2 linked regions of the Caenorhabditis elegans genome follow. The protein of the gene in region 1 interacts with the protein of each later gene in a pairwise test. Each region holds a gene or a part of one and is shown in the gene's direction. Other genes may lie near its edges.

Region 1 (3,755 bases):
CAGCTGATCACGAGAATGACGTGGCAAACATAAGGGTGGTGATGAAATGACCACAGTGAACACATATGGTTGAACACAACATTCACGTTTTCTGTTTTCAAAAAGCCAAAAGTTATAGATATTCTTTTTCTAAAATTAATTCCCTTTACCGTTATAATTGAACTTGATTTTTCCAGGTAACCTGGCCAGGGGCCCGTCTTCGTAAGAAGGACGAAGGAATGCCATCCCTTGAAGATAACAACAAGAAGGGTATGCTTGTCGTCACTTTTGATGTTGAATTCCCCAAGACGGAGCTGTCGGACGAACAGAAAGCGCAGATCATCGAGATTCTTCAACAAAACACCGTGAAGCCCAAAGCGTACAACGGCCTCTAAACATTAAATTGGGTGGATGAAGCCTAGAAGTCGACATCAATTACACACACAGTGACCACACTATTAGATCTTTTTCCAATCTGCAAGAAAATTTTTGAAATTTTGCATCGGAAAACTCGTGCTCGATCTCCGGATCAAATCCCACCCCCACCCAACCACTTCAAACCGAAAATCGCCCGAATCTTCTTCTAGCAGACGCTGATCTCTACGTCTTCATCTTCAACTTCATCAAGTCCATCATTTTATAAAACCAATCTTATTTTTCTCAGTTATTTTTTTTCAATGTTTTTTGAGTTTTCTGAGTGGCAAACTTTCGAATTTTAAATTCAAAAAATTTGTATCTGAAAATAATTTAATCATGTTTTCCACTCAAAAAGCCCAAAACCAAACTTGGCCAGCACTCGGTACTAGAAACTGCATCATTGATAAGTTTAAGAAGTTATGGAAATTCTTATGAGTTCACAAAAAACCTCTTATCACTATCATAATCTAAGCTTGTAGCTACCGATCACGGAGATAATCCAGTGTTGAGTCGAACCTGATCTTCAACTCAAAAATGATCCATTTGGATCGAAATTTATATATTATTTGTCGAATTGTATTGCTTATTATTCATTCGTCGAAACAATGCCTTGCTCTCATTGGGCTCGGCTTTCAGGTTTTGACGAATTTATAATATTACTGTGTATTTTCATTGTCACCCAAAAATTGTTAACCACGTCAGAGTTTCTATTTCTCTTTCCCCTTTTCTCTCTCTCCCCTTCGATTTCTTCGTTCTTTTAACAGGTTTCTTACTTTTCTTCTCTACGTCTCTCTGTCTCTCTCTCTCACCCGTCCACAATCTCTGCTTTTCCCATGAATCCAAAGTCTCTGAAATTATCGATTGATTGTTTTTTTTGGGTATTCCATTTTCTCATTTGGTGGCCTTCTCAATTTTCTCGCAAAAATCTAGTTTTCTCAGTTGTTGTATCTGTGATAGAAATTAATTTTTTTTAAATGATTTCTGTAAAGTTCTAGTGTATAATTCCCATTTTTGACTGGAATTTTTCAGAAATCTTCCCCGCAAAGGCTCAATTTTTCTAATGTTCTATACCGAGATGTGCCTTCTTGCCTCTGTGCTCCCCCTTAATTTGGTTTTAACTGTAATTTCAAGATAAATAAGGGAATATTATTCAAACTGTTTTTTTTTGGTTTTAATTTTCAGATAAATTGCATTGCAACAAACACAAAAATTTATAAGAAGAGTGCGAAGAATACACTGAGTATTTAAAATAATTTGTTATGGAGAGTTTAGAAAATTCAGTTTTGCCATATTCTAGGTTTGAAATAAACTTTCAAAGCCAAAGAAAAACAAACAAAAAATGTTCGTCGTCAAATCTAATGCAATTGGTGCAAACACTTGTTGCGTACAAAAATCCACCGTAACCACGGCGTGCTTGAAAATTTAATTTTTAAGTTAATTTTGGGTTAATTTTAAATGTAATCCTTTTGTTTCATGTAAAAAAATATTTCAGAAATGGCGGCAGCAAAAAGAAAATTAGTATTCGATTCTCCAAACGAATCATCAGTAAACTTCGAAACGTCTCCCAATTTTCCGAAAGAGGTTTGTGGTATTAAATATGTAGATAAAAATTCCAATTATATATGCTTTCATCGCAATTGTTAATCATGATTGATTAATCAAGTCAATTTAAAAAATACTCTTCATTAATATTTATCAAAAATCAATCTATTTTCAGTGGAAAATTGACGGAATGGACATTGAAAACCGAATCAGAAATTTCCGCGATGAGCTGCAGGCACAAGGATTATGCCCCGTTGGGAGTGCTGGAATCGATCCGAAATCCAAGTTCCGCACAGGTTTATAATTTCTTGCCCTCAGAAATCAATATTTATATTTATTTAAAAAAGTAAAATATTCAGAATATCGGCGTATTGTCAATGCTAACACAATTCTAACCGACGTGCTTCGTCTTCAACAGAAAGAGGGCGAGTGGTGTAAGTTTAACTGGCGAAAGAATTAATATTATATATATATATATATATTAACCATTCGTTTTCAGTGAAAAATGCCAGTGGACTTTTGGAGTATGATATTCAGTCCCTTCATGCTCGACGCGATCACCTTGACAATGCCGTGGAGCAGTTGAAGAGCCAATTGAGCCGGCTTGAGTAAGTTCTTTCTTTTAAATTTATATTTTTATTTTCCAAATTTGTAGTTCGAGCGTCGCAATTCTGAAATCCCAACAAATGGCCGTGAAGAGTGTTTTGGAGTTGAGAGAGGACGAATATCTCGCTGATGATGCGGATTCCAATTTGCCTGATGAATTTTTGAAATTTAGCAAAATCAGCAAGTTATGTGTAAGTGGAGAGATTAGATAAACTTTCAACTACAAAATATGAACTTTACAGGCCGCTTCTCTCCAATCGTACGAAAATGTAAAAAAACGAAACGAAGAAATGCAAAAAGAGCTGATTGCCGAACGAAATCGGCAACGAAAGCTTCACGACGCGACAATGAAAATGATGGAAGAAAAGGAAAGGGTTCGAGTTGAACAGTTGGAAGATTTGTTCAAAGACTTCTCATTGGAACAACTTACACGGCTCAGGGATCGAATTCGTCAGGCACAAAAATAAAATTTTTTTTTTTTTCGTTTTGCCCTGTGATCTACTTTAAGTTTTTAGTATCGTGTTTTTAATGTGCCATATAAATTATAGCGTTGTGTGTCAGTATTTTATAAGTTTTCAGAAAAGGAACAGGATCAATGGGTTCCTGTAACTGACTGATCTTATTTTTATTTTCATCGAAAGTTCCTATTTATAAAGTATTCAGTAATTTTAAAATTTTGATTCTCAGCATCGACAAATTTGAAGAAAGCAGACACTTAAAAAATTCTGAAAAGTATTTTTTTAAAGTTAAGACAATTCGCATTGAGAAATAATATACATATTGGCCAGGCGCGAAGTTTTATGCCAAAAATACGGTACACGGTCTCGACACACATTTTTTTGTTGAATGCGAGAGGTGTGCTCCTTTAAAGAGTACTGTAATTTAAAACTTTCGTTTCAGCGCAGCTTTCAAGCTTTCATCGATTTTTAAGTTTTTTTACAATTAAAAAAAAATATTTATTTATATTTTTACAATTCAAATGTAACAACAAAAAATATATACATTTTGTCAAATCACGAGGAAAACTGTATTACTCTTTAAAGGCGCACATCTACTCGCATCTAACAAAAATGTGCCGTTCCGAGACCAGGTACCGTATTTTCGGGTAGGAGAGGTAATAAAGGGTTAGTCGTGCCAGGACCTTTCGAAATTTTATATGAAAACTAGTTTTTCCCACTGAAATCACCTACAATGATGAAAAATTGCAATCT
Region 2 (3,755 bases), on another chromosome or scaffold:
AGAAAATGTCTAAAAAAATCAAAAATTAAACAGCGAAAAACGAAAATTAAAGGAGAAAAAATGGTAAAAACATTATTTTTCAAAATATCGGAAAACATTTTAATACCCAAAAAACTAGAATTGAAAAATCTTGTTTTTGCTAAAGAATTTCAATCATTTTCCGTAGCTTTTCGATAAAAAACGTATATTTTATTTAAGGTTAAAATTACATTACTCTTTAAAGGTTCACACATTTTAAAATTTAACAAAAAATTGATGTGTCGAGACTTTGGACTGTATTTTTGACCCAAAAATTACAAAACTTTTGTTTCCGAGTAATATCACCACTTATTCAATAAATTTATGAAATATAAGCCATTATCAGTTAAATTTCAGGCCTGAACATCAATGATGTCCTTGTGGAAGATGAAGGTGGATCTATCGAAAAATCAATTGCCAAATACGTGGCTGATAGCAAACGAAAAGCCCGATTGACGAAGAGACCGGAACGGATTCGCCTCGGAATTGTAACACAATAAAATGAAATCAATTACAAAATTGCAATTCCAAATTAATTTCAGATGCGCCACGTCATGATTGTCATCGATTGCTCACGATTCATGACGAGCAAGGCAATGCCTCCATCGAGATTTGTAGTTGTTATGAAGGTTAGAAAAACGATTTATTTGACATGTATTTGAATGTTTCCAGGCTCTACAAACCTTCCTGGACAGATTCTTCGAGCAAAATCCAATTGCTCAGATTGGATTGATCACTTGTAAAGATCGTAAAGCAGATCGGTTGACAATGATGACAGGTTAGACTCAATATTCGAGATTTTCAATTTTTTTTTCAACGGATTTCAGGAAATATTCGTGTGCTAAAAGAATCGCTGAACACACTAACTGAAGCTTTCTGTGGTGGCGATTTTTCTCTTCAAAACGCTCTTCAATTAGCTTGTGCCAACCTGAAGTAAGTTAAAAATCGTTTTCAGAATATAAAATATTGATTTTTAGAGGAATGCCGGGTCATGTATCACGAGAAGTTGTTCTCGTTATATCAGCACTTTCAACAATTGATCCTGGAAATATTTACAGCACTATTGAGGTTATTTGACTAAAAAAGTAGATTTTTCTAATCTGTAACATTTTCAAGACAATGAAGCGAATGAATATTCGTTGTTCTGCTATTGGACTGTCTGCTGAAATGTTCGTTTGCAAGGAAATGGCTAAAGCAACGAAAGGTGATTTTTATTTTATTCTTTAAAATAAACTTTTCCAAAATAATGATTTACAGGAGAATATTCCGTAGCTCTTGACCCTGACCATCTGCAACTTTTATTCTCAAAGCATACACTCCCACCGTCCTCAGCAAAATCGAGTGAATGCAACGCAATTCATGTTGGATTTCCACACCACGAGCTGATTACAACAAGATCGTTTTGTGTTTGGTGAGGTTTTTTTAAATGAACTTCTTTTAAAGCTAATTTTTGCTAATTCAGTCATCCTGACACGAAGCCAATCTCATCTCGTGGATTCATTTGTACACAGTGCGGAGCACGTCACTGCTCGATTCCAGCTGAATGCCCGGTTTGCAAACTTACACTTGTCGCAGCTCCACAGCTTGCTCGAGCGTTTCGACATCTTCAGCCGCTGTCAGCTTTTGAGCAAATTGAAGTGACACGAGGGTACGTCAGATTTAAGAAAAAAATATATAAGACAATTAAGATATTCAGATTCTGCTACGCATGTGAAACTCGTCTATCTGGTGAAGGTTTTCGCTGTGGTAGTTGCCAGCTTGTGTTTTGTCTCGATTGTGATACTCTTCTTCACGAGTCTCTACACGTATGCCCCGGATGCAACTGATATCTCTTTTTTTAAATTACTCACGTTCTCTCACTTTTCGGACGGGTTTTATTTCATCTTTTTTATAAAAATTCTAAAATAAATCGATCGGCTCCGTAAATCTACATTTCAAGGTGCGTGCCCATCTTCCAGTCGTGGGTCTCGAAACGAAAATTGAACAAGCGGGTATTCGGGCGCCAATTACACTGTTAAAATTAATTTTTATCTTAAATACATAGCTTTCTTCGTTGTTTTTTTGCTTCATTTGGTCAATTTTTGTACAATTTAGATGAACACACCGGTAAAAGCAAAACGGCAAAGGCAGCAAATGCCAGGAACTCCGATACCCATGGGTCGGCAAACGCACAGGGCACATTCCGCCTCTGGTATGTTTTATCAATAAAAGATTTAGCGGAATCTCTAATTCTTTATATTTCAGGTTTCTACACTCCTCACGTCTCAAAATTGAAGACAAACTATGACAGAGAGTTTCAAAAGTTTCTTCGATCTGCCAAAACCGCAATCGATCACTTGGATAGTGAGTTTGAATTTTTTCTGAAATTTTCAATTTATACTTTTGTTTTTCAGAGATTGAAATGCAAATACTTTGCCCGCTGAAAAAGAAGATAAAACGTTTTCACAAGGAATCCAACACTCTCGATGTCTACTTCAGGTCACAAACATATTGGAGATCCTTCTACAAAGAGCTTATGAACCGCAGCGATGATGTCATGGATTGCTTTCGATTCGAGGATCTCCGTGACGTTGCTGCAGTTGTTGAGAGTCATCGATTGCCGGATGTGTTGGTTTCATTTGTCACGCAGCAGTTGATGGAATGGAGAGAATTGTTCAAAGACGTCGAGTGGTAAGCTGTTGTTGATAACGAATATAAATATAATTACTAAATGTTGCAGGATGCGAAAGTTTCGTGAATTGAGCCACAATATGGATTCTTTGAAAACGAAAAGAATTGAGCATGTGCTGCGACAAGACATCATCAGGGAGATTGGTGTAGCCATCGGTAATTTATTTGATTATTTCGACTCGTTATTAATAGTTTTTTTTTTCAGATGTGCACAATCTGAAAATCGATGATTTCAGAAGTCACAGCAATAACACGGAACGGGTCGCGGAAGGAATTGCTCATGCCATTGAAGAGTCCAAGAATAAACAAGATGCTGGGAATCAGTTGAAGCATGTTCCTGTGTTATCCAAGCAGATGAGTGTTCGACGATGGTATCGAGAACACTATGGTGGTTGGTATTAAATTATTCAATTCAATTGACAACAATCGAATCTTAATTTCAGACCCGCAAGCTTTGTCAGATGAATCAGATGAAGAATCCTTGTCTGATGGTGACAATTCGTCTCTTTTTGTTGGCACGGCAGATTCAAGCAGTCGTGACGCTAGTGACATATCGACGGAAGAAGTGGTCACCGAAAACGAATTCGACGAATTCTTCAATTAGTAATTCAACTGTGAATAGTATTAGAATCTCCGGCAGATCTACAATTCATTCGTATTTTAAGCTGTATTTGTTTATTCCCTTTCAAACTGCGATAACGCATGTTTTCATTTTCTATGCACATCATGTTCCATATCAAAATCTGTTTTTTAATCGATTTGATTTCAATAAACTTTTAATATTTTTTCCACTGATTATAACCATTGAGCTGTTTCATAGCTAATAAAGATTATCTATGAATTGAAAATCGGTTTATTACGGTTGGCTTTCTCGAAACTTTAATGATAAATTACTGAGAAGAAGGAAACACTTTGGGTGCTTGATATATGAGTGAGAATAGTTAGTCGTTTAGAAATCACTCCAATTTTCCTGGCATGGCGCCTTTGTGCTCGTAAGTTGCTCGTGCTTGTTTTCTGGCTCCTGGAAGTCTTTTTTCTTCTGTGCACGAATTAGAGAACGTCTGCGA

The links. Proteins that work in one complex are often made in the same cells at the same time.
Region 2: the proteins of hal-3 (region 1) and hal-2 interact in a two-hybrid assay, tested with the Caenorhabditis elegans proteins (one study listed by BioGRID).

What each region holds. Positions count from the first base shown.
Region 1 is NC_003280.10:9,615,259-9,619,013, reverse strand, and holds hal-3 (uncharacterized protein), read left to right. Parts: upstream 1-1,888; 5' UTR 1,889-1,890; coding exon 1,891-1,977; intron 1,978-2,113; coding exon 2,114-2,234; intron 2,235-2,297; coding exon 2,298-2,372; intron 2,373-2,437; coding exon 2,438-2,546; intron 2,547-2,593; coding exon 2,594-2,735; intron 2,736-2,786; coding exon 2,787-3,011; 3' UTR 3,012-3,214; downstream 3,215-3,755. Other genes in the region: DnaJ homolog dnj-20, read left to right, coding at 177-374.
Region 2 is NC_003281.10:10,086,943-10,090,697, reverse strand, and holds hal-2 (Coiled-coil domain-containing protein), read left to right. Parts: upstream 1-1,844; 5' UTR 1,845-1,957; intron 1,958-2,112; coding exon 2,113-2,209; intron 2,210-2,262; coding exon 2,263-2,361; intron 2,362-2,411; coding exon 2,412-2,688; intron 2,689-2,737; coding exon 2,738-2,844; intron 2,845-2,893; coding exon 2,894-3,079; intron 3,080-3,131; coding exon 3,132-3,292; 3' UTR 3,293-3,510; downstream 3,511-3,755. Other genes in the region: gtf-2H2C (General transcription factor IIH subunit 2), read left to right, coding at 376-506, 561-647, 691-796, 846-951, 996-1,086, 1,135-1,222, 1,276-1,429, 1,481-1,666 and 1 more; T16H12.2 (uncharacterized protein), read right to left, coding at 3,638-3,755.